4 linked regions of the Elephas maximus indicus genome follow. The protein of the gene in region 1 interacts with the protein of each later gene in a biochemical or structural test. Links are inferred from orthologs where the notes say so. Each region holds a gene or a part of one and is shown on either strand. Other genes may lie near its edges.

Evidence for each region.
Region 2: the proteins of PTEN (region 1) and TUFM form a complex in vitro, tested with the Homo sapiens proteins (2 studies listed by BioGRID). The link is inferred for Elephas maximus indicus from reciprocal best matches to the Homo sapiens genes PTEN and TUFM.
Region 3: the proteins of PTEN (region 1) and PDGFRB form a complex in vitro, tested with the Homo sapiens proteins (2 studies listed by BioGRID and IntAct, with this or other methods). The link is inferred for Elephas maximus indicus from reciprocal best matches to the Homo sapiens genes PTEN and PDGFRB.
Region 4: the proteins of PTEN (region 1) and RPL23 form a complex in vitro, tested with the Homo sapiens proteins (2 studies listed by BioGRID). The link is inferred for Elephas maximus indicus from reciprocal best matches to the Homo sapiens genes PTEN and RPL23.

Annotation. Positions count from the first base shown.
Region 1 is NC_064834.1:38,515,039-38,523,019, reverse strand, and holds the start of PTEN (phosphatidylinositol 3,4,5-trisphosphate 3-phosphatase and dual-specificity protein phosphatase PTEN), read right to left. Parts: upstream 3,005-7,981; 5' UTR 2,986-3,004; coding exon of another isoform or gene 2,963-2,985; coding exon 2,901-2,962; intron 1-2,900. UniProt on the Homo sapiens protein: Dual-specificity protein phosphatase, dephosphorylating tyrosine-, serine- and threonine-phosphorylated proteins.
Region 2 is NC_064830.1:88,835,891-88,842,881, forward strand, and holds the start of TUFM (elongation factor Tu, mitochondrial), read left to right. Parts: upstream 1-3,983; 5' UTR 3,984-4,055; coding exon 4,056-4,098; intron 4,099-4,200; coding exon 4,201-4,395; intron 4,396-4,822; coding exon 4,823-4,989; intron 4,990-5,258; coding exon 5,259-5,363; intron 5,364-5,453; coding exon 5,454-5,618; intron 5,619-5,758; coding exon 5,759-5,891; intron 5,892-5,979; coding exon 5,980-6,084; intron 6,085-6,199; coding exon 6,200-6,351; intron 6,352-6,455; coding exon 6,456-6,575; intron 6,576-6,991. UniProt on the Homo sapiens protein: GTP hydrolase that promotes the GTP-dependent binding of aminoacyl-tRNA to the A-site of ribosomes during protein biosynthesis. Also plays a role in the regulation of autophagy and innate immunity.
Region 3 is NC_064820.1:165,347,743-165,355,573, reverse strand, and holds the start of PDGFRB (platelet-derived growth factor receptor beta), read left to right. Parts: upstream 1-4,822; 5' UTR 4,823-5,486; intron 5,487-7,831. UniProt on the Homo sapiens protein: Tyrosine-protein kinase that acts as a cell-surface receptor for homodimeric PDGFB and PDGFD and for heterodimers formed by PDGFA and PDGFB, and plays an essential role in the regulation of embryonic development, cell proliferation, survival, differentiation, chemotaxis and migration.
Region 4 is NC_064837.1:46,393,729-46,400,738, reverse strand, and holds the start of RPL23 (60S ribosomal protein L23), read left to right. Parts: upstream 1-4,002; 5' UTR 4,003-4,061; coding exon 4,062-4,074; intron 4,075-4,654; coding exon 4,655-4,738; intron 4,739-4,768; exon of another isoform or gene 4,769-4,904; intron 4,905-5,021; coding exon 5,022-5,150; intron 5,151-7,010.

The sequences.
Region 1 (7,981 bases):
AAATATGGAATTAGAGAAGAAAGGTAAAAATAATTTTAACATTCTTTGGATAAGCCAGTAGAGAGGGTAAGATAAAATCCAACAGAAAATAGCCTTGTTAACAGAAAAGAAAAGGTGTAAGAAAAGAAACATTTTTTCATTGAGATGTTACATAACACTACCCTTTGAACCAAAAACGGAGTCACTACTGAATATTACTACTATGCCCAGTATCAAGTGAATAAATCAAGGTTCTGGAGACAGCAGCTCCCTTGGAGAGGTTAATCCTAACACGCAAATTACTTGGGAATTATTTATTTTCATTTTAGTTTATAGGAAAAAAATTTATCTTCCTTTTCAGTCATATTCATCCACCCTCTCATAAAACAGGGGGAAGAAGGCAATAAAAGCCCCCAAAGCCTTATTTGCCACTTACCTCTCAATCGGGATGGGGGGAAAAAAACAAGGACAGACAATAGCCATTATATTCAGCTGACAATTCTTCATTTTGATACACTATTAACCTTACCATAAAGGGTGCGAAGACCAGTTGGCTAAAGTAGCCATTAGTTAAATAACAGTCCAGACACATATAATTTTTTTAGGAATAGCAGTTTTGAAAAAGTAATACAGCTTGATAGAATAAACTACTTATGATAAATTTCATCCTTGGTTACTGATTACAAACTGAATGTATGAATCTTTTAATTCAGAAGCATATGGCAGGTTATAAAATGAGAAGATTTGAGACCAAAATGATTCCCAGCATAGCATTTTCTTGGTGAAGTTATTACAATCTAAGGTCTGATAACCAGTTTGTACAGGCTCAGAAACTGGACTTTATCAGTAACCCAAAAGATGATCAATTAGCCTAAGTGACTAATTCACAGTCAGAAGAGACTAATTCATATTCAAAAGAGGCTAATGTAAAAACTAGCACACCAAATTAATTTACCACAAGGATATATCTTTACAGTGATCAGAACACCTGTCCTTTATTCAGAGCGCTCACACCCTTTTTCAGTATGAGTACTAGCCTGTGTTGGCTGAATGAGTAGCTGGTTTCATACAGAATCAGAGTAATCTGAAGTAGCTCATTTTGTGAGATATTTTATCCAGGACATATCTGGGCCTGATAAACACGCCTGCAGCAGAGGATACTTGGCTGGTGATTGTACTGCTCCTCTTCTAGATTCTCCATCTTTCTCCATTCAACATTTACCTCTCTGATTCTTTTTTGTTTTGTTACATTTTCTTTAGCTGTTGTTACTATCACTGACTAAATTGTATCAAGTTCCTGCTCCCATGTGCTGGGATGTTTAGCATTCTTCCACTGGGTCCTGCCTAATGAGAAGGCAGATTTATTTCTGTATCTTCAAGATCTTGAGTACTACCTCTGACACCCCTATGTGTCACCTATAATTTTAACAGAAATTACAAATAAGATCTTTGTACACAATATAAAAACTACAAAATCCAATTAAACACAAGTCAATACCAATACGGCAAAAATGTAAACATACTATTGTTTAAAACTAACCACTTAGAAAAAACAACTTTATGGGGGCTTGGATAAGGGCCTAGGTAGACTCATAAACTCACACAACTATTATAAAAAGATTCTATATCCACATAGTGCTTTATAAATCACAAAGTGCATTCTCACCCATAACATTTAATTCTCATAACCAGAACAATACTTAAATTCAAAGTTTCCAGGAAAGATACTTATGAAAAAGGATAAAGGAAATAATCCAAAATGTTAACTTTTCAAGTCATCAAAGTTTCCACTCACAATTTACAGATAATTTATTCAAAAATCTTTTCTCTAAAATTAGAAAATTAAGACTTTACAAAGCAGACATATATTCCTTCTCTCATAAAAGACAACATGTATTCCTGGGTCACAAATGTATTAAGGAAAGTATTTAAATGGGCCTTGTGAAACACATTGTTCTGAACTGAATGATAATTACTCAAAAAATTATGTAAAGTTATATAAAACTGGCGAAGTTAGGTTTTGGTGCATCCAGCAATTCCTTTCTATAGCCCTTGTACCATATACTTCTTCAGATGCTTGGACCACTTTAAAAAAACAAAACCAAATCCACTGCCTTCAAGTTGAATTCTGACTCATAGCGACCCAATAGGACAGAGTAGAATTGCCCCATATAGGGTTTCCAAGGCTGTAAATCTTTATGGAAGTACACTGGACATCTTCCTCCTACAGAGCAGCTAATGGGTTTCAACGGCCAACCTTTCATTTAGTAGCCGAGCATTTAACCACTGTGCCACCAGAATTCCTTTTAGAGCACTTTGGGGGAAAAAAAAAAAATATTGCCCTCGAGTGAATCCCAACTCACAGCAACCCTATAGGACATAGCAGAATGGCCCCATAGGGTTTCCAAGGAGCGCCAGGGGAATTCAAACTGTTGACCTTTTGGTTAGCAGCCACAGCTCTTAACCACCACACCACCAGGGTTTCCTTAGAGCACTCAGACCCCTTTAAAATCTGCTCCACCTAAAAACACATGCTATCAATGATTTACACCTTAATTTACATGCATAAACCCACGCAAAGATTTTAAGCCTAATCTCCAAATGTGAAAGGCGAAAATCATATTGTAATGAAATCCAGGCATTAGTTAACCTGGGAAGAGGCATTTTACAGTCTATGAAATACCACGTTGTGTATAATGCCTGACTGGTGTAAGGTCAATTCTTATTAAATGGTTATCCCATCGAGGTCCACTGACACATTAAGCAAAAAAAAAAAAAAAAAAGAGCTACACAGCACCACAATAAAGTTCACACCACAAAGCGTATCTTCTTATGTGCATTAGAAATCTTTTCTAAATGAAAATACAACATAAATGTAATAAATACATCAATATTTGAAAAAGAAAATCAAGAGTTCTTACCTTACTACATCATCAATGTTGTTCCTGTATACACCTTCAAGTCTTTCTGCAGGAAACCCCATAGCAATAATGTTTGGATAAATATCTGAGTATCTGAGTTAAGGAAATATCTGAAATATGCACAAACGCAAAATGCATATTTTAAAACAGTAGTTATAAAAAAGCAAGCTTTCCATACCATAGCTACATTAATATAAAGTCATCAAATGTATTTATTTACAAACCAGCATGTGTAATTAAGAAATATTGATAAATACATAAATGAAAAAAAAAAGTTGAAAATAAATTACTTGGCAAAATAATTTCAAAGTCCTGTACTTAGTACATTAAAAGTGCATCTAAGGTAAAATGTAACTTCATATTTACAGTATTTAGGCATACATACCAAAAACCTTAGACTTTGTAAATCACAGAACTAATATATTGAGTCAAAAACAAAAAAAATCTGCATATGCCTAAAAACACTTAATTTTACAACTTCTTTTTTTTAATTTTTCATGGTTAAAAAAGGCATCACAATGTAGAGAAAAGTAGATAAAATGAGAGTCAGGGGGTGAGATATAAGAGTTGACTATGTCTGTAACTAGTTGTGTCATTTGGACAAGTCATTTAACCTTTCTGGGACTCAACTTCACCTATGTAAGCAGCCCTGAGGCACAATGGTTGCTAACCAGAAGGTTGGCAATTCAAACCCACCCAGGAACTCTGCAGGAGAAAGACCTGGTGATCCGATCCCATAAAAATTACAGCCTAGAAAACTCTATGAGGCAGTTCTACTCTGTGACACAGAGTCACTATGAGTCAAAAATCAACCCAAGAGCATCTAACAACACATAATGGGAAGACTGAAAAAGACATCCACTAAAGTCTCTTCAAGCCCTTAGTGTCTATGACTTGATGACACTAAACTGAGGTAGTCAATGTAACCAATACTTTAAAAACAAAATCATTGCCGTCGAGTCAATTCGAATCATAGCAACCCTATAGAACAGAGTAGAACTGCACCATAGGATTTCCAAGGAGCTACTGGTGGATTCGAACTGCCAACTGCTTGGTTAGCAGTCAAGTTCTTAACTACTGCACCACAAGGGCTCCCTAATCAACACTTAGCATGCCCGTTATATTCACTTATTTTACACACTATACCCACCCAGTGCTGTCGAGTCGATTCCAACTCATAGCTTACACACTATAGATGACATAAAACAAACCTTTAGATCACCAAAGAAAATATACAAATGGCCAGTAAGCACATGAATAAATGCTCAACGCATTAGTCATCAGGAAAACACAAATCAAAACCACAATGAGATACCACTTCACTGCCACTAGGATGGCTAGCATGACTATTATCAAAAAACAGAAAATAACAAGTGCTGGTGAGGATGTGGAGAAATTGGAAGCCTCATTCATTGTCGATGCGGTTGTGAAATGCTGTGTTGGTGAGGATGTGGAGAAGTTGGAAGCCTCATTCATTGCCGACGGGGTTGTAAAATGGTGTAGCTACTGTGGAAAACAGTTTGGCAGTACCTCAATAAATTACATACAGAACTACTTTATGACCCACCAATTCCACTCTTAGGTATATGCCCAAAAGAATTGAAAGCAAAAATGCAAACAGTACTTATACATCAATGTTAATTGCAGTATTATTCACAGTAGCCAAAAGCTGGCAACAACCCAAGTGTCCATCAATACATGTGGTATACACATACAACAGAATCTTATTCAGTCATAAAGAGAAATGAAGTTCTGATACATGCTATGACATAGATGGACCTTGAAAACATAATGCTAAGTCAGACATAAAAGGACAAATATCGTATGATCCCACTTGTATGAAATATCCAGAAGATGCAAATGCACAGAGAACAAAGTTAATTCGTGATTACCAGAGACAGCTAAGAGGGAATAATGGGGTGGTGCTGGGGGGCTGGGGGTGGATTGCTTAAGGGGTACAGATTTTTGTCAAGGGTGATTTTAAAAAATTGGAAATGGATAGTGGTGATTGTTCTACAACATGGTGAATGCAATTAATGTCACTGAATTGCACATGTAAAAATGACTGAAATGGCAAATGTTTTGGCATACATATTTCACCACAATAAAAATTAAAAAAAAAAAAGACACTCAAATATCCAGCTGTAAAAAAAAAAAAAAAACAAGTTCTACACATTTTGTCCTTCACACCACTTTTTTTCTTGAGCTCCATCAATCCTCTGTAATCTCAATTTTCCAACACAGACCTTTCACTCCATTCAACCTAATTTGCGTAAAACTTCCCTTAAAGACCATTCCTACTCCTGGACCTATTCATTGTATATAATTCAAAATCACCTAATCTAGTGGCCTTCCTTAAGCTTTTTTCTTTTACTTGCCGCTTTCTTCACATTGACTTGATTTCAACATTAATCTCAATCCAAAAAATAATTACCAAATGACAATGATTTTTATATTACAATTTAAGAAAAGGCTGTATGTGCTTTATGAGTTCTATTTGTAAGATTAACCAGTTACCGTTGAGTCAATTCTGACTCACGGCAACCCCACAGTGTGTCAGAGTAAAACTATGCCCCATAGGGTTTTCAAAAGCTGATTTTTTTAGACTGCCAGGCCTTTCTTCTGAGATGAGTCACTTCCAATCTTTTTGTTAGCAGTCAAACGTGTTCACCTTTTGAACCACCCAGGGACTCTCTGTAAGATTACTGTGTGCTTACTGGAGTCCCCAAGTGGTACAAACAGTTAACAAGATCGGTGCTAACCAAAAGGCTAGGGGTTCAAGTCCACCCGGAGCTATCTCAGAAGAAAGGCCTAGCACTCTACTTCCAAAAAAATCAGCACTGAAAACAATATGGAAACTTGTATACCATGTTCACTACAGCACTTTCCACAGGAGCCAAAAGATGGAAACAACCAAACTGTCCATCAACAGACAAACAGAAAACAAAATGTGGTACATATATACAAAGGAGTATTACTCAGCTCAGGAGTAAAGAGAAATAAAGTCCTGATGCATATCAAACATGGCTGAACCTCAAAAACATGCTCAACGAAATAAATCAGTTGCAAAAGGACAAATACTGTGCCATCTCACTTACATGAAATAAGCATATACATAGAAGCCAACGTTTACTAGTGGTTACCAGAAGTGAAAGGGAAGGGGGGAGTTTCTGCTTAGGGGACACTGAGTTTATGTTACTAGTGGTGGAACGATTTGGAAAAGAATAGCGAGAATGGTTGCACAACTTGAAGAATGTAATCAGTGTCACTGAATTGTACACGTAGAAATTGTTGAGTTGGTGTATGTATTGTTACGTATATTTTCACCACAATTTTTAAAAAATGGAAGAACCAAAACCCTATGGAACACAGTTCCACATGGGGTCACCATGAGCTGGAATTGACTTGACGGCAAATGGTTCTTTTAACTGGTGAATGATTTTAAGATTCAGGATTTTTAGTGTTAAATAGATAACATGAATTAAAAATATCAATATGAACTCATGTTTGTAAAATTCTATATGTTCTAGGTCTTTTCAGAGAAATGGCCTATGAGCAAGGTCAGCCTAGCAGCAATAAGCACTCCTAGAATTCAAAGTTTCATCTGCTTGGAGAAATAGCTGATCCCAGGTCTGACTCAGGCAAGGTACAAAGTGAGCCTGGGATAACTTTCTGTGCCAAAGAGCAAGGAAGGCTCACAGAGATTAATGATCTTTGCCAAAAGGACACAGGAGCTGGCATGAAGGAGCTTCCATTAAAAACCAAACCCTTTGCTGTTGAGTTACAGAGACCCTGTAGGACAGAACTGTCACATACGGTCTCCAAGGCTTTAATTTTTACGGAAGCAGACTGCCACATCTTTCCCCTACAGAGGGGCCAGTGGGTTTGAATCACCAACCTTTCGGTTAGCAGCCAAGCACTTAACCACTGTGTCACCAAGGCTAGAAAGAGCTCCCAATGCCTAAAATTACGACAATTTAAGCAACAAAGAAAAAGATGAAATGATAGTAAATTTAAAAACCCATAATAAAATGAAAATCCCAGAATCTATAATGATACTCAAAACAGTTAAAAATACAAATCAAAACGAGAAGAAACCCTTTTCATTTATTACATTTTGAGTAGCTACTGGAATAACTCTTTACTCTGAAAACTGGTCAAGGGGAAGATTATTTATCCTGCTTTTCATGGAGGAACTATATTTCAGAGTAACCAAACAGCTCTACTTCATAAGGTAAAGCTCTACTATACAGAAGAGCACCAGTTAATAAATGTAAAAGGAAGGACAGAACTAGAAAAATCACATTTTGCAATCACTAATGTAATTACTGATGTAGGCAAGGATTAACAAATAACACTAAGCCAGTAGGTGAGTAGTTGATGAGGAACTGACCTTTCTTATTAAGCCAAATAGCATCACACAAAACACTTTCGAACATAAGGAGACAAACACAACTGAACAGTAGGCAGAAAAGACTATCATCACCCAATTTCAGTAGTCAATCTCAGCATCACCAAGTGAGTCAAGTACAGATTATGTAACTTCCAATGTGATCCAAAATAAAAGACACATCATCTACGATAGCCAAGTATCTTGAACCTAGATCCACCAAACCTTTATATATGAAATCTAACTTACAGGAAATATATGTGGAAGAACAATCTAAATGATATTATTAAGAAGTAAACTGGGCAGATTCGAAAGGCACCATATGGTCTATAGGATAAGGCTCTGTCTCTTCAATAAGTCAGTATTTCAAAAGATGGGTTGGGAGAGTCCAATGTCTAAAAAGACTTAAAGGTCCCTGCACCCAGGTGGCACAAGGTACGATACTGGTATGAATATTGTTTTGCAACAAACCAGACAAAAAGGACATTTTTAAGCCAACTAGACATATGTAGATAAAAAGGATATACAATAAGACATTAACACAAGCAATCTCTAGATGGTGGGAATGTATTTTTTTTCTTTCACATTTTTTGCCTGTTTTATATTTTTTATTTTTGCTATAGCGTACCTGGCACTGTTTCTATAATCAATTTTTTAACTTGTTCGCTTTATAACTATTTCCAAGTCTATT
Region 2 (6,991 bases), on another chromosome or scaffold:
CTCCTTTAACTCCAGTCACACAAAATATGAAAAATCTCCTCCTCCAAGCAAATTCACAGCCTTCTAAAGTCACATTGTTTTCAACTTCCTTTGTTCCTACCCCTTCACCCCCGACCTTGTACGCAGGCTATTTTTCTGTAGTAGGTTCCCATGGAGTAGCTCCTTCCTTCTTCCTTGCTCCGTAACATTGGTCACAAACATTTTCACAGGTGGCTGGCTCCCCCATCTCTGCAACACTGAGCCTACCCCATTAATATCTCACCTAGTGGCTATGCCACAGTTCATGCCACCATATTCACATACTGGACATTCGTGTCTATCCCACTCTTTGACTACAATATTTGTGACAGGTGTGGCTGGACTTTTTTTTTCTTAAATAATGTTTTATTATGTTTTAAGTGAAAGACTACACAGCAAACGAGGTTCCCCTTTAACAATTTTTATACTTATTGTTCTGTGTGGTTACAATTTTCACAAAGTGTCAGCAACCTCATTATCTCCCTTCTGTTTGTTCTGTTTCCATTGATCTAGCTTCTCTTCCCCTCCTTGCCTTCTCATCTTTGCTTTTTGGTAAATGTTGACCATTTGGTCTCATAGGGTTAATTGTTTAAGGCAGCACATTACTCATGGGTGATATTCTTTATTTAATAAGCCAATGTATTATTTGGCTGAAAGGTGCCCAGCAAAAATTGATTCAGTTTCAAGTTCAAAGGGTATCTTAGGGTGATAGTCTCAGGGGTTCCTCTCATCACTATAGATTCAGTAAGTCTGGCCTTTTTTGGGAATTTGAATTTTGTTCTACATTTTTCCCCCATTCTATCAGGCACCTTCTATTGTGTCCCTGGTCGGAATGGTCTGTAGTGGTAGTTGGGCACTATCTAGTTCTTCTGGTCTCAGGCTAGAAGAGGCCGTGGTTCATGTGGGCTGGACATCTTTTTATTGTTGTTGAGAATATATACAGCAGAACATAAACCAATTCAACAATTTCTCCATGTACAATTCAGTGACTGATCACATTTTTCAAGGTGTATAACCATTCTCAGCCTCCTTTTCTGAATTGTTCCTCCCCATTAACAAACTCACTGCCCCCTGAGTTTCCTATCTTTCAAATTACTGTTGTCAATTTGATTCTATGTAGACAGTTCTTAAAAGAGCAAAATGCTGAAGGCAGATATTCTTTACTAAATAAGCTGAACTAATGTTTGGTTTAAAGAATATTTCAGGGGATATTTTTGGTTTAAGGTTTAAAGATCTCAGGGCAATAATGTCAGGGGTTCATCCAGCCTCCATGACTCCAGAAAGTCTGGATTCCATGAGAATGTGAAATCTGTCCTGCATTTCCTCCCTTTTGTTCAGGATTCTTCTATAGAATCTTTGATCAAAATGTTCAGTAACGGTATGGTGGGCATCTTTTAGACTTTCTACATTTGGAGAAATTCCTTGCAATCAGCCCTGCCTCTCCAATATCAAAGACTACATCTCAGCCTCCTCTGATACAAGAACCTTGACATATGATCTAGGCTTCTTCTATCAGACATATCCATGTGAGACTTTGAATTTGCCTGGCTTTGGGGGCAGAGGGATGATCACTTTGATGATGCAAACATGGCTTCAGTGTTTCCAGCAATAGCTGCTGCAGACAAGTCTAAGTCCTGGCACTTCGTGTTTGGTGGCAGTGACAGCAGCAGCAGTTTTCTTATTTGTCAGTCCTATGGCTTGGGAGTATCTCTCTAGTCCTCCCCACAAATCTGTAAGCTGCCCAATACTCTCTAATAAATCCCTCCCCTGCTTAAACCAGTCAATGTAAATTATCTGTAAATCAAGATTCCTGACTGATCGATTTACTATTACAGAATATGCTACACTCAACAGCGCCACAAAAGTTTTTCTTCCTTTGGACCCTCTTCTTAGCACTGTTTCTCAAACCTCAGTCATTTACGTATCACTGAACCACTTGTGTAGAAATTGTTGAATGGGAGCCTAAAGTGCTAGGTGAACCTTCACTGAAAACTCAATATTTAAAAAAATCAATCAGTAAATACACTTATGATAGAAATAACATACATAGACAATGACAGAAAACATAGCAGAGGTTGCCTGAGGGCTGGTGTGGGGGTGAGAAATCGGGGGCTGAGAGAGGGATTACAGTGCATCATGAGGAAATGTTTGGGGGAGAGTGATAGACATGTTCATTATTTTGATTGTTGTGATGGTTTTGTGGCTCAAAAACACGTCAAAACGTACCAAATTGGACAATATGTGCCATTTACTGTAAGTTACACTTCATTAAAGTTGCTAAAAAGTAATAAATAAATACAGTACCACTAGCATAGAAACCATTAGTTCATATGTCACCCAAAAAAACTCCCACCCCCACCAGTGGCTGATAGTATTTCAGGATAAATTCCCAGGAGCGGAGTGACTGAGGGGCACAGAAAAGACAAAGAAAACATTTCCATACTTATACCAGCCCTTTTTAGGCAGAAATGATGGGTTGGAGGGCCAGAAAGACGCAAGTTCCTCACTTTATCTGAGCAATCTGTAAAATAATACATAATTTAATGTATTAAATAATAGTACAGTGCAGTGCTTAAGAGCACATGTTTTTAGGGCTTTTGAGGTTTGGGGGGGTTAATCTTCATCTCCCTGATTCTCAGTTTTCTCACCTGTAAAATGGGGAAAATAACAGATCTGACCACACATCAGGTAACACTGGGAACACTGATTGTGAATCAATATAGAACATTTGCACAACGTTTGATACATAAAAAGCTCTAGTTCAGACTCCTTTCCCAAACTCCTTTCAGCTGAAGGAGGAGGGCAAGGTGTTTGTTACACCCTGTGCCCAGACTCCACTGAATCATAATCTCCAAGGGAGCAATCAGGGAATCGATTTGAAACAAGTGCTGTCTATTGAGTCGTAGGTTCGGGTAAGTTTTGGAAACGTTAATCAGGATCAGGGTTGCTACGAGTCAGAATAGACTCGACAGCAGTGGGTTTGGTTTTTTGGTTTTATTATTTCAGGCTGATGTCGGATGCTGCGATGAGATGATGGATGTGAGAGCTAAAGGTTATTTACTACTCTTTCAGTCAGTCAGTCAGTCAACAGACATTTATTGAGCACTCACTATGTGCCCTGCCCTATGTTGGGTGCTAGGGACACTTCCAGGAACAAGATTCAGGCTGGTCCCTCATCCTCGATGTTATCTGTAAAATGAGGTGGGGGCGGGGGTGGGGGAGGAGAGAGACAAGGGAATTTCCCCCTGGGCCGCAGAAGGGGCTACAGGAGTAGACGACAGAGCCTTGTCTTAGGACTCCGACCCTATGAGGTCAGCCAGTACAGAACCGGGGGTGCGGTGGGGACAGATATTTGAGGGGCAGGGACTGTTCCAGCTGGAAGTCCCAAGACCCCATCCCTGACTTCAGCGTAGCTCATTTCCTCTCAGGTCCAGATGTCAGAATCTCCCTATTAAATGGATACTATTATTCCCATTTTACAGATAAGAAAACAAAGGCTCAGCGGAGAGATGGGTCACACTGGAGCCCCTGCCCCGAAAGGCGTCCAGGACCTGGTCCTACCTCCATTGCGGCTCGAAGGCCGCGAGAACCGCGCAGTGGGTCGGAATCCAGGGGATCCGGGACCTCTCTGCGCCGGGCCCGGGACTTTCTTGAGTAGTCCGCACCCAGGCCGCCTCTACACCCTCTGGACCCGGCGCGGACCTACCTGACTTCCACCCTAAACCCTCCGCCTTGGAAAATGCAAGGCCCACCGGTGCCACCTGAGAAAAGAACATAGCCCGTCAGGCGGCTAGACCCGATCGCATCGCGGAAACCTCCACCCTTCCCCTCCCGGAGACACCTGCACTTTTCCCGACGTCCTCTGCCTTGTGTCCGGAAGTCGGCGGAGAAAGCAGTGGAAACTGGTGGCTAGAGGCGCCCGGACTCGCCTTCTCGGCCCTCACTTCCGCCGGAAGTGACTTCAGCAGTAAGTGTCCTTTGGCTGTTGCACGCGCGGGTTGCCGCTACGCGGTACGCGGGGCGCCTGCACCACCATAATGGCGGCCACGACCCTGCTGCGCGCGACGCCCCGCTTCTGCGGTGAGGGGGCAGGGAGGGCGGTGGCAGCCTGGGGACCCGTAGGGTGCTCCGGGGGTGGCCGGGCTCGAATCCGCGTCCTGACTCCAAGCCTCTGTCCCGCAGGTCTCGGCGCCGGCCCGACTTCACTACTGCAGGGCCTGTTGTGGCCGCCAAAGGCCCCGGCACTGCCCCTCTTGTGTCGAGGCTTGGCAGTGGAGGCCAAGAAGGTCTATGTCCGCGATAGGCCCCATGTGAACGTGGGTACCATCGGCCATGTGGACCACGGCAAGACCACGCTGACAGCGGCCATCACCAAGAGTGAGCGGGCATGGGCTGGGGGCGTCCGGTAGTGCCCGATCTAGAGACAGGACCTGGAGCCAGGAAACTGGGCCCCTGAGCGGCTGCTGGACGTGTTTCGTGTGGCCTTGGGAACCAGAACTCGGGCAGGCGGTAGAGTGGAAGATGCAGATTTCCCTTTAACCTGAAGAACTTTTTGATGCATGAATTGGGGGACCCTGAACTGCCTCCCCCTGGAGAATTCGCAGGGCTGGACCTTGAGGACTGTAATAGCCCTTTCTGATGCAAAGTTAGCTCTGCTGGAGAAATCGGAGATTGGAGGGAGAGGGATTACAGAATTTTTATCCTCCCAGACTCATTCGTTTAGGTGGGAGGGGCTCAGGGGTGTGGCCTGAGCCCTGCCCGTAGCCTTGGAAGTTTAGCTGAGAGGTGTGTCTCTTCCCTCCAGTTCTAGAGGAGGGCGGCGGGGCCAAGTTTAAGAAGTATGAAGAGATTGACAATGCTCCGGAAGAGCGAGCTCGGGGTATCACAATCAACGCAGCCCATGTGGAGTATAGCACTGCCGCCCGCCACTATGCCCACACAGACTGCCCAGGCCACGCAGATTACATTAAGGTGAGAGAGTTACTGAGGACCTCTGGGGAGAGGACCAGGAGCTGCCTTCTGTCAGGATAAATGGTGGGCATAAGGAGAGAAGGTTATGATACTGAGATGTAGGTATTTGAGACTATGGATTTGTGGCCATGATGACTCAAAGTTGGGGGGTGAGGAGATGGAAGGGAAATGTGAGCCTCAGTTCTCAATTGCTGTGCTTGGTCAGATGGATATGGAGCCGAGGAGGCCACTGAACTTGGCTGAGTGTTTCCTCTCCTCCCCCAACCCAGAATATGATCACAGGCGCCGCTCCCCTCGATGGCTGTATCCTGGTGGTGGCAGCCGATGACGGCCCCATGCCCCAGACCCGAGAGCACTTATTACTGGCCAAACAGGTACTCAAGAGCTCAGGTGGGGTGCAAAGGGGAAGAGTGGCCGTTGGGCCACTCTGGACACCATCCCTTGTTATCTTTCTCCATCTACAGATCGGGGTAGAGTACATTGTGGTGTATGTGAACAAGGCAGATGCTGTCCAGGACTCTGAGACGGTGGAGCTAGTTGAGCTGGAAATCCGGGAACTGCTCACTGAGTTTGGCTACAAAGGGGAGGAGGCCCCAGTTATTGTAGGCTCTGCTCTCTGTGCCCTTGAGGTGAGGATAGGGACAGTAGGGGGCTGCTGGCAGAGGATGAGGCTGGATGGGCAGGCAGAGCTCTGCTCTGAGTCCAGAGAGTGATGCTTGGTAAGAGGAGCAGAGTGGATTTTTAAGAGTCCTGTCAATTCCCTTCACAGCAACGTGACCCTGAGCTAGGCCTAAAGTCAGTGCAGAAGTTGCTGGATGCTGTGGACACTTACATCCCAGTGCCCATTCGAGACCTGGAGAAGCCTTTCCTCATGCCTGTAGAATCTATTTACTCTGTCCCTGGTGAGGACCAGACCATGCTTGTTTGTACCCTCTACCCCAGCAATAGCTTAGCCGAGCGTCCCTGATGTCCTTTCCGGCTCCTTTTCAGGCCGGGGCACGGTGGTAACAGGTACGCTGGAGCGTGGCATTTTGAAAAAGGGAGACGAGTGTGAGTTCCTGGGACATAACAAGAACATTCGCACTGTGGTGACAGGTATAGGAAGCCTTGGGACCCAGGAGCTGACCTTTCACCTTGTGAATTCCTCGTGCTTTCTCCTCTAACCCAGGTACTCCTCCTTGTCCCTTTTGCCTCCTTTCTTCTTTTCTAGGCATTGAGATGTTCCACAAGAGCCTGGAAAGGGCAGAGGCAGGCGATAATCTTGGAGCCCTGCTCCGAGGCTTGAAGCGTGAGGACCTGAGGCGTGGCCTGGTCATGGCTAAGCCAGGTTCCATCCAGCCCCACCAGAAGGTGGAGGCCCAGGTGAGGGCTCCAGCTGATGGTGGGCAGGGCTAAGCCACACTGTCCCCTGCATGGAAGCAGTGCTTCTAGTCAAGTCCAGCTGCACCTTCATTGCTCTCCTACAGGTTTACATCCTCAGCAAGGAGGAGGGTGGCCGCCACAAGCCTTTTGTATCCCACTTCATGCCTGTCATGTTCTCCCTGACTTGGGACATGGCCTGTCGTGTCATCTTGCCCCCAGGGAAGGTATGTGGGTATAGGGAAGTGTGAAGGAGTGACACCAGCTCTGCCTCATTCATAGTTCAAAAGATACAATGTGACAACTAGGGTGACTTGATTGCTGTGGATCAGCCAGAGGCTGACTGTTGATATAGGTGAAAGTAGATGGGAGGGTCTAGACTAGTGGATCTAGAGGAACTGAGTCCTCACCCAGTGTGCCCTAGGCTGAAGTAGGTTAAAAGCTAGCTATACCAGCATTTATCTCCAGAAAGATTTCCTAGGAAAGAACCCTCTTGTTATTTAAGTTTCACAGTATATGAGGGCTCAGAGAAGTCCTGCAACTAAGAAACCTGTATAACCCAAAATTTCCTAGACTTTTTTTTCCAAGAATATACCTTGGAAACACTGGTATCATTTGTCCCATTCATTCTTTTTGTCTTTGC
Region 3 (7,831 bases), on another chromosome or scaffold:
AGGCCTTTCTTCCATGGGGGGTTCGAACTGCCAACCTTTAGGTTAGAAGTTGAGAGCAAGCCACCATTTGCGTCACTCAGGGAACTTTCAATGTTGGCTAGTCTCTGTAATGATGGAATGCCATTCATTCCTCTCCGTGTGGGGAAACAGAAGCCTAGGGCAGGGGGACAGTTCATTCTCCGGTACACAGCCCACTTAGGGAGCAAAGGGAACAGTGTGTCCTCATCAGAAGGAACACCACATCTGACTCATTGTTCCCAGGAGACACAGAGGCCACAGAAAGAAAGAAAGGCCACACGGTGAGTCTGTAGTAAAGCACGGACAGGGACCCGAAGTTCCAGCTCCCTGTGGGGATGCCAATCCTGCAGCCTCTTAGATGGGTAGGGAGGCTGGGCATAGTCAACACCAACAACATTAGCCCCTGCTTCACCTTCCACCCCTTTAGCCCACCCTCCAAAATTCTGCAGTGGCCCCGCCAACCACTAGGCTGAAAGTCAGACTTCTCTCTGGGGCCCACAAAGCCTTAACGCCCGACCTGAATTCTCACCAGAGTTATACCCCGCCATAAGCCCTCTCATGCTCCAGCCATTCTTTTGTTTCTGTTCATACACACCAAGCTCCTTCCAGCCTTCCTGCTTTGGCACATGCTGTTCCCTCTGCCTTGAACACTGTTCCCCCTCACACCTCACACCACTAGCACTGCATCGTGCGTGGCCTCTCAGGTCTCAGTTGAAATGTGTCTTCCCCAGAGAAGCCTGACTCTACCTAAACAAGGATCTCTATCCACTTAACCCATTATTCCTTACATCTCGTTGATCACAATTCTCAGAATTTGATATTATGACTTCATTTGCGGTTTCCTTGGTGTTTGCTGGTGAGCTCGATGAGGGCAGGGCTCATAGTAGGTGCTCAACTAATTTCTGTTGCATGGCTAGACAGTTGGAGGAACAGGGCTGCCTGGTAGTCAGAGGCCCCATCCTAAACTTGCTGTGTGTCCTCAAGCAGGTTCTGACCCTCTCTGGATGTTAGGACCCAGTGCGTCCAGTGGGTTCTACTGTTCTTATAATCCTTGAGCCATTTGTGTGCACCAAAAGGCCACACTCCAGTTCCCTATGGTCACTGGGCACTGAGAAGAGGACAGAGGTGGGTGAGAGGTGGGAAAGCAGTTCCCTCCCTGTGCCTCTTCTGGCCCCCTGACTGTAGATACAAGCATCTACCTGGACGAGGGGTGAATTGGTGAAAAGGTAGTGAGGTGAGGGTCAGAAGTCCTGCATTCCAGGCCTCTGTTTCTCCACTAATCTCAGACAAGTCCCCTCCACTCTTAGGGCCTCAGTTTCCATGCTTGTACAATAGACACATTCTTAGGGCCCCTCTGGCCCTGACATCCAAAATGATTGCTTCGATGCCTGGGATGTGTGTGCTGCTTCCTCACCTCCTGATGGGGGAGCCTGGGGAGGGGCCAACAGCTGGGAGCGTGGGAGAGCCAGATGTGGTGGCCGCTGGCCCTGCCTGAGTGAGTGCTGAGCTGGCCTACTGGGAATTCTCCCACTCAGGCTCCCTTTCCGGGCACCCCCCTCCTTCTCCCTCCACCCCACTGAGCACTACGGCTTCCGGCTCAAACAAGCGTGGGTGAGGGTCTTAGGAGAGGAGTCAGTTGAGCCTGGTTCCCTCCTTTAGGGAAGATCAGGGGGCCGAGAGTCTAGACAAAAGCCTTGCTTCCAGTCCCAGTGCTGCCGGGGACACACCGGAAAGCCTTGCCCAAGTAGCTTTCCATCCTTGGGCCTCAGTCACCTGGGCTGTAAAATGAGCGGGTTGGAGAGCTTCCTCCAGCCCTGACTGTGGACTTGTGAGACAGCAGCTCCTGGTGACCCCTGACAACTAGTGGTCTCGGGTGGAGCTTTCTTACTCTGCTCTGCTCCCTGCACAAAACACCTTCTGTGAACCATTTTTTCAGGCTTCTCAACCACCCCTTGAAGTGGGCACATTTATCCCTTTTTACAGTTGAAGAAACTGAGGCTCAGAGAGCTCAGATAATATACTTTGTCCAGGGTCACACAGCTAGGAAGTGGCAAAGCTGGCTTGAAACTGCCAACCCCAGAGCCCAGGCTCTTAACCCTTGAGCAGTACCACTAGTTCTTTGGGGAGGTGGTAGTGAACCCGAAGGCCCAGAGCTCTTCTCTCCCTCTGCACCCCCTTCCAGTCCACCTCAGGCAGGGCTCTCCAAGGTCCATGTTCTGCCCACCCACTTTGAGCCCAGGATGGCCCGAGGCCATGAGCAGGGGAGGACTGGGCGCCCAGCATTTGGACGGGTGGGAGAATGCTCGTGACATGCTGTTCATGGTGAACACCTCAGCATGTCAGTGTTGCGTTGCCCACATGACACCCACCCAGCCCCTCAGAGTGCACAAGGAGAAACTGAGGCCCAAAGGAGGAAGGGCTCTGCCCAGAGCACACAGTGATGGGACGCAGCTTGAATGAGGGGAACTCACTATTTCGATTACATTCTAGGCACTGTACTAAGCCCTTTACATACATTACAAATTCACAATAATTTCACGAGTTAGCCCTCTTATTATCCATCCCCATTCTCCAAAAGAGGAAACAAATGTACAGGAGTTTAAGTGACTTGTCCAAAGTCATGCAACTTAGAAGTGGAGAACCTGGGATTTGAACGCAGCTCTGCCTTTTTTTCTGCCTCTGGCTCTAGAACTTTCCCTGTCAATCTCCACCCTTTTGTCCCAACTGTCCAGCCCTCAGTGAGTGCCCTGTGGTGCTCTCTGTGGCTCAGTACCCACCCCTATCTCAGCTGAGAGGAGCCATGACAGCCTGGTGCCCACCAAGGGTTAATGGTGGTAGGGGCTAAGTGCTTCCAGATGGGCCAGCCGGATGGCTGCGCTGGCCGGAAACTGGCTGCCGCCAGTGTCCCTGGGGAGCCACCACCAGCCGCCCCCTCCCCTCTGTACTGCATCGCTGGCCCCCAGCTGTCCCCCTGCCCTGGGGCCCCCCAGCCTCCTCTATTTAGCCAGGGTCCAGCTCTAAGGGGAACTGCAGACAGACCATCCTAAGGGCCTTCCAGCACAGTGAGTCCACCCTTGTTAGGTACAGATCGAGAAACTGAGGCTCAGGGAGGCCAAGGGACCTAACCAAGGTCACTCAATAGGTCTGAGACTAGGTATCCTGATTCCAGACCAGCTTTTCTGGGAAGAAGGGAGTCGAAAAGCTCCATTGCTCCATTGCTCCCTCTGAGCTCTCCTGGCCCCAGCAGTTGGGCCAAATTTTCAGAGGCGCATGGCCAGCAAATGCTAGGAGTGGAGCTGTAAATTCCTGGTGAAGTCTTTGGGCACAAGCAGTCCCTATGATGCCTGACCCTGTGGCCTCTGGGGTTCTCTCACATGAATCTGCTGCCACCAAGCCCTGCTCCAGGCTCTCTCTCTTGGGACATTTTCACAGTCCCCGTCATGTGCCTGGGCCAGTCTGTGGATCCTTCTTCCTCTATGCAGCCCAGCCCAGATGCCCAACTGGGGAATCCCTTTTGCAACAAGACCAAGAAATGGTTTCAAGATAGATTACTGCAGTTGGCCTGGAATTCCAGCTCAAGCAACTTCCCTGTCCATGAACAGTGATCTGGGGTGGGGGTGGGGAGGAGAAGGGGGTAGACAAAAGTACAGAGTACATAGTGGAAGTTGCTCTGGGCATAGGCAGGCTGTACCTGTGGACCTGGGACACATTTCTTCCTCTCTCTGGTCCTCAGGTCCCCCACGTGTATAGTAGTGGAGGCACAGGTTGGCTTAGCTTAACTCTAAGCCCTTTTCAAATAATGCCCCTTGGCATCGAAGGGCTAGGAGTCTGCCATCTTCTGAGCTGAGGAGGTAAATATGGAAGATGAGTGTGGGGGATGAAAAGCCCAATGTGGAGACCAGGAGCAGACCCTGGTGAGGAAGGAAGGCAGGAGAATGGAACATACCAGCTACTCAAAAATACTTGTTGAGTGACTGAATAAATAGAGACAAGGAAAGAGGTAACCTAGGAAGAAGGCAGGGCAGGAGGGCTGGTCTACACTGGAATATGGGTGTTGGGTCAGAGTCAGATGACCTGTGAAACTTTGATCATGTAACTTATGAAACCCAACTCTGCTCCAGCTCTGCCATTGCTGTGTGAGCTTGGGCAACTCATTTCTCTCCTCTGGGCCTCAGTTTCCTCACCTACAAAAGGGGCAAATAATCCTTCCCTGGTACCCCAGGGGCTCTGAGATGATAGAAAGAAACATGTCTGGAAATCTGGAGTGTGCTGGGTGACCTTGGGCAAACTGCTTTCCCTCTCTGTGCCAAGCCATGCCTGGGCCTTAGCTTCTCCTTCTGAAAGTAACAAATAACCCTGGAGAGTCTTTTCATCTCTTCTCTAATTTCCTCAATCATCAGTTAGGTGCCCTCTAAAATGCATCCCAGCTCCCTGTCCTCCCGTGGGGTACCTGTTTGCACATTGTCCGTCACTCCCACTAGTCTGAGCTTCCCTGAGGTCAGGGACTGTGTCTTACCACCGCACCCTGGAGCCTAGCACAGTGCCTAGCACATAGTCGATGCTCAGTAATGCTTGTTCAATGAATGAATGTTGACTGAATCAATCATAGAGATTATCAGAGCTCCCTTTACAGATGGGGAAACTGAGGCACAGAAGAGCCGCCCCCCCAGGTGCCATGGCAAGGAGAGGCCACTGGTGACAAACATCAAATGGGGACGGGCCACTTTTTAATAAAAGTGACTCAGCGACTGGCTGGCGTGGGCTTCGGAATTTCTAAACATCCCCTCACGTCCTGAGAGAGCGGGAGACGGGAGGGAGTAAGAAGAAGGAAAAGAGGAAGAAAAACAAGAAACTTGGGGAAAAGAAAGAGAGGGGGGAAAAAAGTGAAATTGAAAACAGACGCACGCGTCCACCCTCCCTGCTCTGCCGCCCCCCTTCTCCCAGCTAGGCCAATCAGAAGCCGTCTTGCGGCCTTTCCCCCAAAGTGGAGGGGGCGGTGGAAGCAGGGAAGCCCACGGTGGTGTGAGCTCCTGGGGCTGCCAGCCGCCCAGCAGTCCCTACCCGCCCTGTCTGGGATCCGGGATCGCTCCGTGAGCAGCTCAGAGAGGAGGAGGACGCCGAGGAAGAGGAAGCCTGGCCCCTCAGAGCAGCCGCGGAACTGAAGCCCGTGCCCTGCGACCCAGCCAGCCAGACCCAGGGCGGCCCCTCCTGGCAGCTTGACTCCTACGGAAGGATGCTTTGGGAGTGAGGCGAAGCTGGGCTGCTCTTTACCGCTGCAGCCCCCCACTCTCTTGTTCCCCGAGGCTCTGGTCTACAGCCACCCTTCTTGCCCCCCTACCCAGCCACTGGCAGTCTGGAGTCCAGCAAAGTCTCCAGATAACTGGGAGAGGGCAGTGAGGAGGACTTCCTGGAGGGGGTGGCAGCCCAGAGCCTGGGACTGTGCTAACATTAGAAGACACCGCAGCAAGGTAAGTGCCGGGAGAGGGAGGACCCTAGCCCCTTGCCCTGTCCCCTTGTCCCAGCCTGAGCCTCAAAAAAATGAAAACTATTTTTAACAAAACCATATGGGAGGAGGCCTGGAGGCGGAAGACAATGTCAGGGCTGGAGGAGCTGTTTTTCTCCTTTCCTCTGCTCAGGCCGCTTCTGGAGGGGGGTGGTCCCTGCCTTCCCAACTGTGCTGCCCTTCCCCAGTTAAACAAACCCCAGAGGTTTCTTGGTGCCAAGTGGGGGCCTTCAAAGCACAATGGTGTCTACAAGAGGTGGGGAGAGCTGGGAGGGGCGAGAAAGTGGAACTGGGGGATGGCATGTAGGGTACATGGAAAGGGGACCTAGCAGGGGACTAGGGACCTCAGGGCCACTGCCCCTGCCCCCAGGCCTAAGCCTTGGCTCTAGGCCAGTCAGCCACCAGGCAACCTCTGGGGATTTAAATGGATTTGCAAATTTTCCAGATTCCTAACATGTCCTTCCAAACCCCCAGTGACTGGGAAAGTTCGAGAATGAAGGGGACCGGGGACCGTGGCTGGGGGCAGGCTCAACCTAGCAGTCTTGCAGCTGGGGCTGAGGGTCTGGGACCAGGCTGTCAGATCTGGGGGCCTCCTGTAAAGAGGGGGTTAGCCAGCTGGACTCTTTCCTTGGGTCCCAAGTGACTGCTCGGGCCTCCTTGCTGTCTCCCCGTTTCAGGGCTTGGCTTCTTTTCCATTCCATTCTAAAATATAAATCTGGTGAGGCGACCTTCCTGCTCAAAATCTTTCTGTGGCTCCTCAGTACCTGTAGAAAACCCCGGCTTCTAACAACGGCTGCCACTGATTGACACTTACTGCACGCCAGGCACTGTGCTGAGTGCTTTATGAGAGTGATCTCATTTAACGGTAACCAGCAGACCCAGAAGCAGGGACTGCTTTTCCCTTCCCTTTACCCACAGGGAAACTGAGGCTCATGGTAGCCACATAACTACAGCCACACAGCTAGTAAGTGGCAGACCTTGGAAAGGTACTGACCCTCCACCCCCGTTACTGCAAACTTGGGCCTTTTGTTCCTTCAGTCAAATCTCAGACATCCCAGAAGGAATTTGCATGATCCTGCCTGTGAGCCTTTGCCTTCCCCATTCTCCTGCCTGAAATGTCTTTCCTTATCACCTCCACTTTTCCTTCAAGGATCCTCCCTAGTCCTGCCTCCTCCAGGCAGCCTTCCTGGGCCCTTCCAGTCCTCAGAGCTTGCTCCCTCCTCTGAGCTCCCAGGCCACTGCTGCGCACTACATGCTGGGACCTTGTTGCTTGGCCTTCTCTTCCTGTTTGTGTTCTGTCCATCCACATGACAGAGAGTGTTCAGGCCCCAGGCCTCCTCATCTATGTTCTGTCCCCACTGCCCAGCCCTGGGCAGGCAGTAGGGTTGAGAAAATGTGCTGGTGAAAAGGAGGAGAAACTGGCCAGAACTCAAGCCTCCTGCTTTCCTTCACATGCCCTTCCAGGCCATCAAGGGCTCCTCTAGATCACATTTCCCTATTTCAAATGGGGGTGGGGGGTGGGGGTGTGGGGGAGTCCCTGCCTACTTCTGTGATCCCTGAGCACACAGGTCTCCAGTGAGAACTGCAGAGGTCAGGCAGGCCTCTCCTGCCTCCAATAGGAGCACCCTGACCCATAGCATTCATGGATGTGACCACTGCACTGATCACCATCATAGAGCCTTTGCCCCATGCCGGGCACAGAGGCTGGTACCTCACACACTTTGTAATACTCAGCGGCTCTTTGACATCAGTATTGGGAGTACTCCTATTTTACAGATGAGGAAACTGAGGCTTAGAGGGGCTAAAGTGACTTGCCCAGGGTCACACAGCTAGTAGAGTTGGTATTTGAGCCATAGTCTGCCCGAATACAAAGTCTTAACCCCCACCCTACCAGGGAGCCGCTGGTCAGAAGGGGGAGAGTTCCCATTCTCTCCAAGGGCTGGACCCTGGCGTCAGCATCTTCCCCCACAGAAAGTTTAACCTCAGGCCTGATTGGCTTCAAGGTCTGCCCAGGCCCTGGCTTGGTCTTGAATGGGGAAGGGGACCATCTGTTTGGCATCCTCCTTTCAGAACAGTGGTTACTGCTTGAACATGGTTATCAGGCAGCCTCCCTCCTCTGGGGGTGGCAGCTGTTTCTGTGGGAAGAAGAGTTGGGACTTGTAATTGCCCACAGATGTGGGACAATGGAAAGCACCGTGGATTCAGCATCACGAGATCCGGTACTGGTCCTGGCTCCACTCCACTCACATTCGCTGTGTGGCCAGCCTCAACCTCTGTGCCCTCTCTGGGCTGCTCCCTCATCTGAGAGGC
Region 4 (7,010 bases), on another chromosome or scaffold:
AGGAACCTGTTGACACTGGAAAGAGGTGGAGTGGTGATTGAAGATACCGGGGAGAATAGAGACAATGGGGGCAAGTCTGGGATGGGAGCAGAGGTGGTCTTAGGAAAAGCGAGAGAAACACTTCCTCTTGTGTGCAAATCACTGGGTTGGGGATTCAGTGTAGATCAGGTTACATGCAGAGAGGATGGAAAGTAGACTTAAAGAATTCCCAGGTGCCAGAGTAGAAAAGGCTGTAGTGATGGCGGAGAGACACTCCATTGCACATGGCACGGACCTTTAAGCCTGGGTCAGAAGCGACTTCTCCCTACTTTCCCACCATTTGGGCCCAGATTGTTTAGTGACAAAAGCGTAACAGCCTCTGTGATTTTTTTTTCCCCCCTCCAGCATCATCCGCTCTTTTTTCTGGCCCTGGGAAACCTGAAGTAGTTAATTATAGCCAAAAATCGAAACAAAACCGTTGCTGTTGAGTCGATTCTGACCAAGCGGCCTCTTAGATCAGGGTTCCCAAGGAGCGGCTGGTGGCTTTGAACCGCCAGCCTTTTGGTTAGTAGCCAAATTTCTAACCACTTGGCCACCAGGGCTACTTGTATTAAGCTGCTATCAATTACCAGAGGCACTGTCCGTTCAGGAGACATGACAATTAAGCTGTAATCTAACGCTTTCCAGCAGAGGGGGTATAGCTCAGGGGTAGAGCATTTGACTGCAGATCAAGAGGTCCCCGGTTCAAATCCGGGTGCCCCCTAAAGCTTCAAGTTTTATAAAAGACTACGTATCTTATCTACCCTCAAAGTGAGCCCTGGCAGTGCAGCAGTTGAGCGCTCGGCTGCCAGGTGACAGGTCCGTGGTTTCGGTAAAGATTTACAGCCTGGGCAACGCAATGGGGGCAGTTTTAGTCTGTTTTATAGGGTCGCTATGAGTTGAAATTTGATTTGGTTTGGGGGTTTGGTTTGCTTTTGGTTAGTCATCCTCAAATGAACAAAATGGAAGACAATGGAAGATATTGAGTGAACGCAGTTTAAGGCAGAACCAACTAGAAATTCTGGGAACAGAGAAAAGTTAGCGCTGCTTACCCCGCTGACAATTTTACAACCAAAAAAACCCCCAAAAGATCCTCCAATCCAGGAAACAAACTTCTCCATCGCCCAGGTGTATACAACTGAGCAAGTATTCTGTTTCAAACACTCTGGGAATACAGAAAGGAATAAAAATGCCTTATCCTCCTGAGCTTCACCTTCTAACATCAGATCAACATACAACCAAATAAATTACTGTACAGTGTGGTATCTCTAACATTTCATTCATCCTCTAAATCACTGGTATCTCAAGTGTGGTCTGAGAACCCTCAGGTATCTCGAGACTATTTTAGTGAGTCTTCCAGGAAAAAGGAGCTATTTTCATAATAATACTCACCCATTATTTGCCTGTTTCATTCTTTCATGAGTATACAGTGGTACTTCTACGTGAAGGGTGATATTGCAACAAATTAACTGTAGAAACAGATATGAAAATCCAGCTGTTTTTCATTAAGCCAGACGTTAAAGGGATTCCTCGAATATATAAAGCAATGCCACTCTTCTCACTAAATTATTTTTGTTTAGAAAAATATTATTTTCACTCAAAAATGTTATTTAGATTAACAGGATTATTGTTATCTTCAATTAATAAATAAACGTTTAAGCATTCCTCAATTTTAAACTCTAATTCAGTAAATGTCGATAGATAGAACCCATATAAACCAAAATTCTTTGCGGCCCTCAATAATTTAAGAGTGTTAAGTGTTTTTAAGGTCAAAATATTTGAGAACCGCTGATCTAAGAGGTGGTTCTGGGGGAGAGAATGCTGGGTTTGTGAGATGGCAAAGGGAAGAGGTGACATTTGAGCAAAGTGTTGAAAAACTCATAGTGGGTAAAGCAGAAAAGAGCACGCACAGATACAAGGAGGTGTGAAGCAGAAGAATGTGTCCAGAAATCCTAGGCAGTTGGGGGTTGCTAGAGTATGAAGTGTGAGAGGCAGAATGGAAGATGAGGCTGGAGAGACAGACAGACCAGTTCCTGAACAGACTCCAGTGCTATGCTAAGGAGCTTGGACTTTTTTCCCCAAGCACTGGAGGGCCAGCACAGGGTTTTAAGCCAGGGGAGGTTATGGTCAGACCTTTCAGAGGCAGTTGCGATAGTTCACATGAGAGCCTGAACCGAGGGCAGATTGGGAGTCATGGACAGAAAAATTCAGGAAGTAGAGTCAAGTAAACACCCGTGGAGACTAGCTCTGGGAGCCTAGGGGGAGAAAACGAGAAGAGGACAACCAGTCATGTCCTAGGTTTCTGAACAGTAGTGGTAGCACCAACCAAGAAAGCTAATACAGGCAAAAGAGCAAATTTTGGGAGAAAATGATTCTTCCTGTTTTGGTCATGGTACGTCTGAAGTGCCTGAGCAGTGGAGATGTCCCAATCAACAATTGAAAATATGTGTCTAGAGCTAAGCAGAGATGTCTGGGCTGGAGAGGAAGACTGGAACATTTTTAACACCAAAAAAAACCATAATCCCAAATAAAAGTGAAAACTTCTTAGAAGGATGCCGATGTATGGAGACCATTGAGGTAGACCTCTCCATTTATTAAGCAATCATTCAACATAAATTTATTGAGCGAGGCCAGGCCCTACGCTAAGAACTGGGGAAAGGCTGTTGACCAAAAAAGACGTGGATCCTGCCCTTATGGAGCTTATAAACTTAGTGGGGGAGTCATTAAATAAATAATCACCGAATACATATTTAAGAATTGTAATAGATGATATGAAGAAAAAATATAGGGTACTAAGAGCTTGGAAACCCTGATGGTGAAGCGGTTAAGAGCTACGGCGGTTAACCAAAAGATCGGCAGTTTGAATTTATCAGGCGCCCTTTGGAAATTGTATGGGACAGTTCTCTGTCCTACAGGGTCACTATGAGTTGGAATCAACTCGACAGCAACAGGTTTTTTTTTTTGTTGTTGTTGTTTTTAAGAGAGCTTATAACAGGGGAACCTGAGCTAGTATAAGGATCAGGGCAGGTTTTCTAAAAAAAGTGACATTTAAACTGAGATTTCAAAAATGAGAGGATGTGAAATAGGTGATAGGGGTAGGCAGGGTAGTGTATCGAGGTAAAATTATATATATGTCTTCCTTTGCTTTTTTTTTTTTTGCCCATTTTTGAATTGGGTTGTCTTTTTGTTGTTGAGTTATGAAAGTTCTTTATATATTCTGGACACTAGACCTTTATCAGTATATGATTTGCATATTTTTCCACCATTTTATTTTTTAGGTTTGTCTTTTCTTTTTGATAATGTGCTTTGATGTACAAGTTTTTAATTTTGGTGAAGTCTACTTTTTGTTTCTGCTGTTATTGTGTTATCTAAGAATCCATTGCCAAATCCAAGGTCATAAAGATTGACCCTTATGTTTTCTTCTAACAGTTTTATGATTTTAGCTTATATTTAGATCTTTGGTCCATTTTTTGAGTTCATGCAATGTATTTTCATTTTTATTCTAGAAGCAATAGAAACAGAATTTTAAGAAAGCAATATGGTAATAGTTACATTTTTGAAAAATTATTCCTGGCCACTGTATGAAGAATGAATGGAGCTGGAGCGCTACAATGGCACTTCTCAATTTTAACACTTTCTAATGAAACTGCTTAAAGTTCTCCCCCTCCTACGCCCTAATTCACAGCACATATAGCCTTTTAATCACTCTAGTGTCTGGAGAAGTGCCTGACGTATATAAAGTTCGCAAAAGAGTTGTTGGATAAATTAAGAATGTTTCTACGTTCCCAACTACTTTCGAACTCGTAGAGTTGATCTCTACCAGGTCTCAACAGCTTCCGCAGCTCTTAAAACCTGCACCCCCTACTTCCCAGGGAGGCTTAGTCGCAGGTCCAGGACTTATTACGTAATAAGGCAGCGCCCTGGGGAAAGAGGCGGGCCTAACAAGCTCCGGTTCACGTGACAGGAGAGTGGGTGGGACCTTAAAGTTCATATCCCAGTGTCCTTTGTATCTACTTCCTTTCTGTCTTTTTCCGGCGTCCAAGATGTCGAAGCGAGGTGAGGATTCGTCTTTTCCCAATCTTCCGCCATCTGTCGCACAGTGACTGCTGGCGTCGCCAGTAATGACGGCCCTGGGCAGCTGGGGCACTCCGCTCTCCTCGGGCCGGAGAGAGAGGCGGGGCCCCGCGAGAGCGCTGGGGAGGGCCCCCGAAAGTGGCTCGGGGGCAGGGGAGGGCGTTGTGGAGCGTTGACCTAAGTAGGATCCCGACCTGATTCTAGACCAAACCTAGCGCGATGGTCACGACGCTCGTAGCGCTGAAGTAATGAGGCTAAAGTTCGACGATCGTGATTCCCAGATGGGGCGACCTGTGGAGTCTCCCGTCTTACTGAAGGGACTGTGTGGTGCAAAGGTTGGAGCAAAGATTCAGTTGTCCAGGCCCTCTAAAATTGATTAAAAGTGTTAGTGAGGAATCGATTATTTGCCATGAGAACAGGTGGCACATGGGGAGGGGGCTAGAGAGAGCCAACCTATAGTGTACTTGCGCGGGCGAACCTAAAACGGGAGAGTGTGAGCCTAAGTCTGAACCGTGTCTTCTCAGTTATCTTTCTCCTGGTTCCTTTCCCTTCCTATTCACAGGACGTGGTGGGTCCTCCGGTGCAAAATTCCGGATTTCGTTGGGTCTTCCGGTAGGAGCTGTGATCAACTGTGCTGATAACACAGGTGAGAGCTTAAGCACGCCTTGTTGCACTCCCCCTTTTAAAAGCACTCATTGGGGCTTTTGCCAGTGACCCACTGAGCCGTCAAGAAAGGGCAGAATAAAAACACTGCTTTTGGGTGAAGCGGCAATATCTTGTGTTGTTTTGCTTCAATCGGTGGTGTGACAAGGTGTTCCACCTTGGGGACTAACTGCTGTGTGAACGGGTGGAGAGGCTTTGAACTGGGTGTTAGGAAAATGTTACATAGGCCCTGAAAAAATGGGATTTTTGTTTACATTCTTTTATAGGAGCCAAAAATCTGTATATCATCTCTGTGAAGGGGATCAAGGGGCGACTGAACAGGCTTCCTGCTGCTGGTGTGGGTGACATGGTGATGGCTACCGTCAAGAAAGGGAAACCAGAACTCAGAAAGAAGGGTAAGTAAAGAGACAGAATCGTTCTCATCTCCTGGTAGACAATTGAAGTACTACTCCCTTTATTGGGAAATGAAACAATATAGTTCTTAAGACCTTTTAACAATTTGATTTCCTTTGAAGAGAAGCTTAGTAGACTTAATTGATCCCCTCCTATACTTTTACAAACAAAAGCCCTGTCTCTTGGGATTCCCACTCCAGACCTGTACTTCCAGCCTCAGATCCTTTGTACTTGCCGTGCCTCCTACCTGGAATACTGTAATCCAGTGATTTTTCACTGTTAAATCTATAGCTCACTTTGGTATTGACATCTCCCTCACCAACCCACAAAAAACTGTTTGGTAATTACTATGGTATTTTATGATATTTGTCCCTAAACAGTTATACTTAAAGTTCCGTGAGAACAGATGACTAGTTTATTCTTTGGTTATAAACATTGCTTAACACATGGTGGGTATTTTAAAAAATATGTAAAAAAAAAAAAAACCCTAAGCGAGACCCACTGCCGTCAAGTCCATTCCGACTCATACTGACCCTATAGGATGGAGTAGAACTGCCCCATAGGGTTTCCAAGGAGTGCCTGGTGGATTTGAACTGCAGACCTTTTGGTTAGCAGCCATAGCTCTTAAACACTAGGCCAGCAGGGTTTCCAATATGTATGCATACAGTAAATACGTGTCCATATTTTTGATTGGTAGAAGATTTAGAACTAAATGGGTGGAATCACAGCTTTGAGACTTATGTCACCGTAAGTGATTTTCTGGAATTAACTAATTTTAAAAAGGATAGTGATTCTTTCTCCAGTGGTTGTGAGAGTCACGTGGTGAACTGCCAAGCATGTAGAGCATCTGGCCTGTTACCTAGCATTTTTAAGTCCAGAGTAACATGCTATTCTCCTTGCTGTAACACAGGTTTTACTTATAGGTGAAATCAAGATCGTGGCTTGAAAATTTGGCATGATGTGTTTCAAATCTCTTCTGATAGAAACTAAAACAATGAGCTGTTCATTGCCTTATCATGGGCTACGATCCAGAACAGCTTTTCTTGCCAGATAGGTAAATTTAAAAAAGGGGGAGGCATGGGAGCACTTCTGACTTGTGATGTCCTATCTGGCTTTAGAGTTTTAGATGTTTAGTGTTCTTTAACTTACCAGCTCCTGAACTTTTCTGCCTGGCACAGTCTGTCTCTGCCCTGGAATATCTTGCCCTTACAGAGAAGTCCTAACCATCCCTGACATACAGGACAAGTGTGACTGTATTGTAGTTACTCCTGTATACCTGTATTCTACCACTAGACCGTTAGCTTCTTGTTCAGAAATCTTAGTTCATTCACCTTTAGTATTCTCTTGAGGGTTTGGCAGGCAAGGAGTAAGTAGCATTGGAAGAGTCAGTGTGTTGAGTTAGAATCAGGATGCAACTGGACAGGCTTTCCGCTTTTCAGAACACTTGCTGGGCCTGATTGGTGGCCTGGATAGCCGTCAGGGAAGACGACCAGTGCTTTATGGGTCAGATGGCAGCAGGATGTGCTGTTGGTCTCAATCGGTGGGACAGGCCAGAAAACACATAACAGTCTTAAAAAATACTTGTGCATTTCCAATCTGTTAATGTCTTTTTTGGTTTTTGTTTTTATAAAATAAATCACATTACCTTGGTGTTAAGTAGAACAGTCACAGAGATGTGGAAAGGGCAGGACTGGAAGTCCAGAGACCTGGGGTTTTGGCCTTTTTTATCTACTTAGGGCCTTTGGTTAGTTTGTGAGAATTAAAAGGGCTATAAGTAGAAAAGAATCCAACAGAAGAGGTTCTTGGTAAATATTAGTTTGCTCCCACACAGTGTGTATCCCATGATTAAAAACTTGATCAGT